Caenorhabditis elegans: one gene and its partner. The protein of the gene in region 1 purifies or fractionates together with the protein of each later gene. This does not show direct contact. Each region holds a gene or a part of one and is shown on either strand. Other genes may lie near its edges. The genes, in order: nmrk-1 and glel-1.

What was found.
Region 2: the proteins of nmrk-1 (region 1) and glel-1 fractionate together in Caenorhabditis elegans (co-fractionation; one large-scale study listed by BioGRID). This does not show direct contact.

What each region holds. Positions count from the first base shown.
Region 1 is NC_003279.8:6,105,339-6,109,941, forward strand, and holds nmrk-1 (Molybdopterin synthase catalytic subunit), read right to left. Parts: upstream 2,378-4,603; coding exon 2,291-2,377; intron 2,148-2,290; coding exon 2,088-2,147; intron 1,663-2,087; coding exon 1,444-1,662; intron 1,398-1,443; coding exon 1,277-1,397; intron 1,232-1,276; coding exon 1,072-1,231; intron 1,023-1,071; coding exon 647-1,022; 3' UTR 525-646; downstream 1-524. Other genes in the region: T27A3.8 (NADH dehydrogenase subunit 4L), read left to right, coding at 1-132, 176-231; nse-1 (Phorbol-ester/DAG-type domain-containing protein), read right to left, coding at 2,958-3,261, 3,306-3,490, 3,536-3,707, 3,751-3,872, 3,919-4,019, 4,072-4,309.
Region 2 is NC_003281.10:12,272,065-12,277,350, reverse strand, and holds the start of glel-1 (RanBD1 domain-containing protein), read right to left. Parts: upstream 3,312-5,286; 5' UTR 3,310-3,311; coding exon 3,197-3,309; intron 3,147-3,196; coding exon 2,877-3,146; intron 1,481-2,876; coding exon 79-1,480; intron 1-78. Other genes in the region: pifk-1A (1-phosphatidylinositol 4-kinase), read left to right, coding at 3,671-3,733, 3,779-3,922, 3,981-4,074, 4,148-4,475.

The DNA of each region.
Region 1 (4,603 bases):
CCCGAATGATGTTATCAGTCAGCTTCTTATGGATGTGGGAATTGGCGATAAACACTGAATTATTGGATTTTCTTGGTATAATTATTTCAATTGTTATATCTACCAAAGTTCTTTTGCATATTTTTTCTTATGGTACACTTTTCCAAAATATTCCAATTTTAAAAATTATTTTCAGAAATAGTCTTCACTTTCAATTCGGAAGAATACGAGCAGCAAGTTGACTTGAATTGATGCTTTAAGAAATAGCATACGATGATTCAAATGGGTTGTATCTACGGGAGCCATGTATTAATGCAATAAATGATTTTCAAACAAAATTTTATAGAATAAAATGAAAAACTAGTCTCGGAGTGTTACCATAGTCTTTTGTCCTCACAATCATTCAGACAGGGATAACTCTTGGTCGTCATCGACGGCTGGGGGTCGAACCAGCGACCCGCTGCACACAAAACACACACGCTACCGGTGACACCATTCATGTCAGGTTCTCTTTGAAAAGAAGTGCAGTTATGAGGCGAAGGAGAAAAAGAAAACATTTATTCTCTAAAATTCTAGCTAGCAAGTTCATCTATTCAAAAATGTACAATGTACATATCACAAATAAGCTCATATCCATAAAAATTATAAAAAACATCTTCAGATTAAATCATTGTTTTGAATCTTCGATATTTGATTTCCAAACTCCGTCCACTTCTCCATTCGAGTATTCTTCGTATTTAAAGATTGGTGCATGCTCCTTCAATAAATCAATACATTTTTCAGTGGCTTGAATTGCAGTCTTCCGATGTGGTGAAGACGTGGAAATTATCACAGATGACTCTCCGATGTCTACTTTTCCTAGACGATGAAAAATCGCGATTTTCTTAACATCCGGATATTCCGCTCGAATTTCTGCACAGATTCCACGTAGCTTCTTGTATGCCATCAAGTCGTGACAATCGTAGGAAAGGTTGCTGACGTCACGACCTCCATGGTTATCACGTGTCACACCGTTAAAGGTGGATATTGCTCCACAGGAAGGGCTGAAATAGGAGAGGTTATTGTTGTTAGTTTGAAAAGATTAAAACATACTGACTAACAAGCTGATCCACAACCTTCACATCTATCACTTCATCAGTCAGTTTTATATGATCATCAAGGATTTGTTGTCTAAAGTTAACTATCGACTTGTTCTTGTCATCAAATTTGGACTCCGAGACATCGATGAATGTTAATCGGGAATCTGTGCGACCTTAAACAAAAAATGTTTAATTGGAAATTGGAATCAGACTCATACTTCTTTGCCTCGCCCTTTCTAAATGTCTAACATAAGCAGGAAAAGCGACGTTGACAAAATATCCAGGTGTGTCTGCAGGCACATAATCTGTTCGAGCTTCGCGTCTTCGTTTGCAGGTTTTCTGAAAAAGTTAGAAATTTTAATAATATTAATCGAAAGAATCTTACAAAATCCAGTGTCATCACAACTATCCGATCACACAGATCCACGATTTCGTCCATTTCGGTAATCATATTCCCGTCGATTATCACATTTTTATAAACTTTCGATTCATTGAGAATCCGTTGTCGAAACTGATCTATATTTATCGCTTCTTTTTCGTCAAAACTCCAATAATATCCCTCATCGGTGAGATGCTCAGCGTCCGGGTGGTAAATTTTTTCAACCTGAAATAACGTTTTTTTTTTTTGAAAAAAGTTTCTGAAACCCCAGACGCGAAATGTTGAGATTTTTCCGCTGAAAACACGGTACCCGGTCTCGACTAGACAATTTTCGTTCAATACAAACGGATGTGCGCCTTTAAAGAGTACTGTAATTAAAAACTTGTAATTTTCATTGATTTTTCATAGTTTTTCTCACAATTAATTGCAATTTTCTAAAATGTATTTGTTTTCAATTTTTTATTTTAGTTGTTTGTTACAAAACAAAGCTTAAACGACAAACTACAAAATCGATTAAAATTTCCTAGAGAAAAGTTTAAAACTACAGTACTCATAAAAAGGCGAGTCGAGCCCACTCTTTCTCTGTACGGAAATAAAGTTAATTCTGTGTTTTGTTTGTGATGGCTTTTTTTCGGATTTTCTAAACCAACCTCGTTTTCAGTTTTGTAAAATTCGTCTTGATTTATTATTGTAGTCTCGCCGGCACCAAACTGAAAATACAATATATTAATCGTTGTTGGACAGCCTCACAGAGTCTCAAATTTTGATGTAAAGTGTGAAGCACGATGAATTGCATATAAACTGCGTCTTACGAGAAAGCTAACATTGTTCCGACTTCTTTGTTTCAACTTACAAATCGTTGAAATTCCTTTGCTAACGTGGATTTCCCGGAATTTGTGCAACCGGCCAAAGCCAAAACATAGGCTTTTGTTGAGGTCATCTGTAAAATTCAAAAGTCTTCCAAAAATTGAAGCAGAAAAAAGCAAGCGGCTAGAAAAATGCAATCAATTCGAACAATAAAATCAATTGAATTATCAGAAAAAAATCGATGAATTTATCTCTTGCATTCTCGTGTGACGGGCCCGGTAGAAAACACAATGATAAGCAGAGGAAAGAGGAGATTAAAACTTTCAGATTTTCAGGTCAAAACCAGCAATTTCAGATTTAAAACGTGGTTATATCGGGAAAATTACATTCTAAAAAATGTTTCATTGAAGATGTATGCATGAAAAATGGGATGAAAATCGCGGGTGGGAAAAGTCAGTGAACCGGAGGGAAAAGGTGAGGTATTTGACACGTGTGTGGGAAGGTAGGAAAGTGAAGAGGGATGGATTCGGATTAAAATGCAGAGAAATAGGAATAAAAACCAGTCTACAAAAAACGATAGAAAAGGGAAAGCTTTAACTGAAAAAAATGTCTGTATTTCAAAACATCGTTTGGCAGAAAATAAAAAACAAAATCCAAAAAAATAGTCCAAAAAGAGTACACAGCCGAATTTTTTAAATAGAAATCCCTCTGCTTTATTCACTGTCACTGTCTGGAACTCGCTGGTTCCGCTTCCCTCTCGTCGGCCTAGGAGTTATGGTCATATCATCGTCAGAATCAACTGGAGCCGGCGTTTTCGATTTAGATTTCGCTCTTTGTGTCCTTGAAGGAGCTTTCGGAACATCTGAATCTGGTGAAGGGCTTCTAGCCACGGTGTCTCTCGATCGTGGAACACCTGTGGCCTTCTTGGTATCAATTTGCTTGAGAACCTCATTCAAAGACAGATTTTGATTGCATTTCTGACATTCAACGTTGTCTTGGTGAGAAATTATCGTTGCACTGAAATCCATTGTTTTTTTTGCTTTTCCCGGCAAACAACCTACTTTTTGAAGCAATTAAAATGACACAACGCATGACATTTCTGACATTCAGCAGTGTAAACCGATCGGGAAATGATTTTTCTGCACAGTTCACAAGTTTTGAGGTCTCCTGTAAACTTGGCACGAAGCCAGGGCTCCAGTTCGACTAGAATGCGTGGTGTGATCTCTGCAACTTCGTTTTCGTCGGTCTGAAATGCAAAATGCACTGATAACTATTATTGAATTCTTATTACCATTAAAAAATACCTTTGTCTCATCATTTTTGCCATGAAAATGTCGCATTTAGGGCCAGGCATTTTGCATGGTTCATGCCGAATTTGAGAATGAACCCAATCCATTTGAACGGTTCCATCTGAGGAAATCATTTCTTCGAGAATAACGAGAAGAAGAGCTCGCTCGACTTTTCTGCAACTTTCAATTGGAAACTTTATATTCAAAAAATTCTTACGTCAAATCGCTGGCTTCACTAATAACTGAAGAATTTCTTCCGCATCCTGTCATTGTGACAAACTCCGTTGGAGATTTTTCATCCGTAGAAATTACGAATCGCCACGGCCGGAACGGTTTTGGCTAGAATTTCAACTTTAATATCTGTTTCCCCATAAAAATTGCTCACCCCTTTTCCTTCATCGTCATTCATAGTTTTCACAATCAATTTCGAAAGTTGACGTGCTTCCTCTCGATTTGTCTGAATTTGCATTACAGTATCTGGATGTCCTGCAAACAAATTGTTTATTCCAATATTATTTCCCTTCTTAAAATTACAGACTTTTCCAGATAGCAGTGGTCAAATGCTTGGCGAACATCAGGTTCATCTTCTTAGCGCTCATCGATGGTTCCAAGATGAATTTATTGATTAGGTGGCGATGACTAGCTCCAAACTTTTTTGCGGCTTTCATGACTTCTTCCATTTTGGGTACTTCTTTGTTGAACTTCTCGAAAAGCAAAGTGTAGTCGAAATCACCGTGTGGTTCTTCAAATGAGGTGTCGCTACCGTCATCTGACATTGTTTTGGCTGAAAATTGTTTTAATCAAACTTTTTCTTTTAAAAAAGTATGTTTCGGAGGAAATAGTAAATACAAAACTGAAGATGAAAAAAAAAACATAATCTGAAATAGCGCCAAAAATGTTTGTTTTTTTCAACGAGTCCGCAATGTTTACCGTGTGTGTTTACGGACTTTGCCGTGAAAGTTACGAGCAAAACAACAGGAAATATATTTCAAAAATCATCATTTTTGTTTTCTTCTTCGATCTCCGCTTGTTATTCTGAAGTTTCAGCGTTTAAAATAAATATGAATTAT
Region 2 (5,286 bases), on another chromosome or scaffold:
GCAGACCCGCCCCTGACGTCACATTTTTCGCGGGGGAAAAAATTCCCGCATTTTTTGTAGATCAAATCGTTATGGCACCTTTTCAGTGATGGTCCTCTTCAAAAGAGCTCGGAAATGTGGATCGGCGCTAGATTCGAATGATTTCTTATCGTCGGCGAGTGTCTTCAGAAGGCCAATGTAGTTTTTGAATAGAATATATGGCCGGACTGATGGTTTTTGAGCTTTTTCCGGCGGCTTTTCATCAAAAATCGGCGGTTTTCCAGTGGTTTTAGCGGGGATTTCTGCATTTTCCGGGGCATTTTCCGCAGGCTTCACACGTAAAAATCCAGTGGTTTTGGGAGAGCTTCCTCCAAAAATCGTCGACAGCTTTTGCTCATTTGGAGGTAATTTTGCTCCAAAAATCGGCGATTTTCCAGTAGTTTTAGCTGGAATTTCAGCATTTTCCGGGGCATTTTCAGTAGGTTTCACACCGAAAAATCCACTGGTTTGAGGAGAGTTTGCTCCAAAAATCGACGGTTTTCCTGTAGTTTTAGCGGGGATTTCTGCTTGTTTGGGTGCATTTCCAGGAGGTTTCACACCAAAAAACCCAGGCTCATTTGGAGGCAAGTTCCCACCGAAAATCGATGATTTCTGTGAATTTCCTGTCGTTGTTGCACCAAAACGTCCCGATTTTTCAGAAGGAGAAGCTTTGGAATCATGAATTGAGCCGGAGCCGGATCCTGCGGAAAAATCGAAATTTGGAGCCAAACGTGTGGCTTCAGCTGCTGGTGATTTTGGAGAAGTTTCTGAGCCAAATTTTCCCATATTTTCTGATTTTTCAGAAGCTTTGGGATCTTGAATTGAGCCGCCGATGTCTGCGAAAAAGCCAAATTTCGGAGCCGCCGGATCAGACGATTTTGGAGAATTTTCCCTATAGTTCTGAGCTGCATTATATTCTCCGAGTACTGCTTTCTGTAGATCTGTTTCTCTGAAGGCTTCGTTTCCCTTTTGAGCTTTTGCTTTGGAATCTTGAATTGAGCCGCCGATTCCAGCGGAAAAATCGAATTTCGGAGCCGCTTTTTCTCGTTTTTCCTCCATTTCCTTTGCCTTTTGAGCTTCCAGCGCCTTTTTCATGACGTCATTCTGAAGAACAGGCGATTCCATAGCCGTCACAAAGTCAGTCCTCTCAAAAACACTATCATCGCCGCCGCCGCCGCCACCGCCACCGCATTCCTCAGTGATTTGTTCAGAGAACAACGGGAACGGCGGTTGCTTCGAAACTGGCGTCGACGTGGCTCCATGGATTCCGGCAAATGCGAACGATGGTCGAGACCCGTTGTAGTGATCTAAATTGAATGAATCATGAGTTTGCGGGTAGAAGACTGTCTCGTGAGCATCTTTTGGAGTTGAAGCTGGCTTTGTTGGAGCAGGAGGAGGAAGAACTATCGACTTCAGGCTTGCCATGTTTTCGCCGAAAATCGGATTTTGGCGTGGGCGGACTCTGCAAAAATAGGATTTATTAAATTTTTTCGAAAAAAAAAATTAGATTTGAGGTTTCGGATCTACGATTTCGGGGTTGGCACCGAAAAAAAAATTTAAAAAATTAAAATTTTTTTTCATCAATATAAACAAAATTCGATGAAAAATCGAATTTTATGGATAATTTTCTGACCGATTTTTTAAAAATTTTCCAGGAAATTTTTCGAATTTCCTCTGAAAAACTTTGTAAATTTTCGATTAGGAGTCTCGACACGACAAATTTGTAATTTTTGCCAAAATTCAAAAAATGTATGTGCGCCTTTAAAGAGTACTGTAGTTTCAAACTTTTTTTGAAAGCTGAATGATTTATACATAAAATTCGATTTCTAATCTAATTTTGTCTATTTTAATGAGAAAAAACATCGAAGTGGGCGGCAATTGCCGTTCGGCAAATCGGCAAAATGCCGTTTTGCCGGAAATTTTCAATTTGCCGGTTTTCCGATTTGCCGGAAATTTTGAATTCTGGCAATTTGCCGTTTTGCCGGAAATTTTAAATTCTGGCAATTTGCCGGAAATTTTCAATTCCGGCAATTTCCGTTTTGCCGAAAAATTTTCAATTCTGGCAATTTGCCGATTAGCCGGAAATTTTAAATCAGGCAATTTGCCGATTAGCCGGAAATTTTCAATTCTGGCAATTTGCAGATTTGCCGGAAATTTTCTATTCCGGCAATTTCCGTTTTGCCGAAAAATTTTCAATTCTGGCAATTTGCCGATTAGCCGGAAATTTTCAATATGCCTTTTTGCCGGAAGTTTTAAAGTTCGGCAATTTGCCTTTTTGCCGGAAATTTTAAATTTCGGCAATTCGCCGTTTTGCCGGAAATTTTCAATTCCGGCAATTTGCCGTTTGCCGCCCACCCCTGAAAAAAAATAAAGAAACAGAAAATGCCTCCTAAAAAAAAGTGAATAATGGCCGAAATATTAAGCGAATTTTTGAAAATTGAAATTTTTCGTTTTTCAACTGTGCGAAATTTCATGGGGGTCTCGACACGACAAATTTTTAATTTTTGCCAAAATTCAAAAAATGTATGTGCGCCTTTAAAAAGTGATGTAGTTTAAAACATTTTTTTGAAAGCTGAATGATTTTCAAATTTTTTCGATTTTCGATTTTCGATTTTCCTCAAAGAAAAACGGTGTTTCTTTGAAATTTTCTTCGAGAAATTTTTATTATAATCAAATTTAAAAATTCGAAAAATTTCTCGTTTTTTCTCGAATAATATCCTTGCCAACGCAAAAAAAACGCCGCCGTTCATGCTAAACAACACGCGTAACATCGGAGCATCGTTGTGTGTCACGTTTTTCTTCGAGAAAACAGCGGGGTTGGCACGGTGCCAGATGATCCGTAATTCGGCCAGATTTACCTCGCTGTGAACGGAACCATTCGAGCTGTGGAACTCGGAGAAGCGAACTCTTTTTCAAAATCTTCCCGTGCTTTTTTCAGCTCCAAATCTGTGGGTTTTCTCAAAAATGGACGATTTTCCTTCTTCGAGCCGACGTCAACCTCGCTCATCGCCTTAACAAGGTCCTCAAACTTCTTATCGAACTTCTCACTGTGCTTTTGTCTTCGAATAGCTTTTTCTCGCATATAATCCTCTTTTCTCGTTACCGAATCCTGAAAATCTCGGTCCAATCTGCAAAAAAACCCCTTGTTTTCAGACGTTTTTTCGATGAAAAGGCCCACTTTTCATCTAAAATCGGCTTCATCGACGGCAAACGCCACTGTCGGAAGTACATATCGTTGTCTCCACCGTATGGGACATCATCATCCATTTCTTCAAGCTTGAACGTCGGCATGGCTGGAAAATAAAAATAAATTTTATATTATTTTATATTTTCAATGATGATTTTCAGCCAAATTAGTCAGAATTTGGCGAATTTGTGTAGATTTTACACCAATACAATGATTTTTTAATGTTAAATGCAAAAAAAAAAGTGCAAAAATGGGAGAATTTTAGCGAAAAACTAAAGAAAACCGATTCTAAAAATTGAATTCCAACTTATCCGAGAGTATTACAAAACCCCTGGCCTAGAAACCACAACCCTGTTTTTCTCTGCGCTCTCCTCGTTCTCCACACTCTCTCTCTGCCTCCGGTTTTCCGATAAATGGACTGAAAAGACCGATTTTTTCTATTTTTTCTCGATTTTCCATGAAAAAATGCGAGATATCGAGGATTTTGTGTTCACAAATAAGCAATGTCTGGCGATTTGCATTGCTCAAGTGAGTTTTTGGGCTAGAAATTCAATAAAAATTGAGTTTTTTCAGAATGAAAACACGAAATTATCGCAAATTTTCAATCTTCTCGCGCTGGACGACAAGGAAGAGCAATTCGAAGCTCAGCCGTTAAGCCATAATGTCAGATGTTCACTAATAGCGATCGCAAATTATTTATTGCATAGCCATGGACAGGTTTGCGGAAAAAAAACTGAAAAAAACGGCTAAAAAATTAAATTTTTCCTAATTTCAGCACGCCGATGAGCTTGTTCCAATGCTGCTCCGTGCTCTAATTGCTCTTCCGCACATGAAATGGATTGATGATGGGCTTTTGAACAAATCTGATAGTGGGTTTTTGGAAAAAAAAAATTTTTTTGAAAATTTTTTGAAAATTTTGAAAAAAATTTTTTTTTGTTGCAGAAATCCCTATCCAAGAGCAATTCTCGTTCTGCTTCAACACTTCACTATCCGACTTGGCCGCCCATCTTCCACGATTCCGCCAACAAATCGTTTCAGCTCAAGCGGATGCTCTCGCCTGTGCAGTTTCATCAATTTACGATGTTTTGGAGGATCAGGAGAGCCTGGAGCACAATTATTCGCATGTGATTAAGCTTATGTGCTATGCTCTGGGACTTTTACGCTCAATTGGACGATTTTCAGCTGACTATGATACTCCGCTAATTTCCCTGATTTTTCCGCTACCCGTGGATGAAACTAAAAAGTGCAAGGGCGCTGGTGGAGCGGATATGTTAGTTTTCGACGGAATTTTTGGGAAAAAAATGAAGAAAATGATGAAAAATTGACAGAAAAACAGTACAAATCACCTTATTTTCGATAAAAAATTCCAATTTTTGGCAATTTCCCAGTTTTTGGTCGTTTTTCCGCTGTTTTAGATAAATTTTACCTTTCGATAGGCATCAAATTGAGTGGCTATCGGCTTAAAATGCGCCTAAATCAACGAAAAATGCGAGATAATCGACCAAAATATGCAATAAAAGGTGAAAATCGAATCATTTACTATATATAAAGCGCTTATTCTGTGTGCCCATAGTTTGTAGTCTATGTAGTCTTTGTAGTCTCAGAAGTTCTGGCTGCTGAAGGGATAGTTAGTTGAGGTTAGTGTAGGGATATAGTCGGGGTACTGTAGTGGTACAATAGTGGTACGGTAGGAATACTGTAGGGTTATGGTAGTTTCAGAAAAAATTAGTTTTAGACCCAGAAGTCAGGGACCGCGCCGGAGGTGCGGTCCACAGCTGGTAAAAACATATAAAAAATTCTAAAATTTTCAATAAATTGAATTTTTGGAAAATTGTATTTTAAAAAGCCAAAAAAACCGTGCCGCAGGGTTGCAAAACTAAGTTCCGCCTTTTTTTCTGTGCGGCGCGGTTTTTTTTGTTGCGAAATTCACATAAAAATTCATAAAACCGCTAACACTATAATTAATTTTTTTGAAAAATTGTTTTTTTGTAATCCGGAAAAAACCCTGCCGCGGGGTTGCAAAATTAGGCTCCGCCTCTTTTTCTGTGCGGCGCGTTTTTTTTTGTTGCAAAATTCATAAA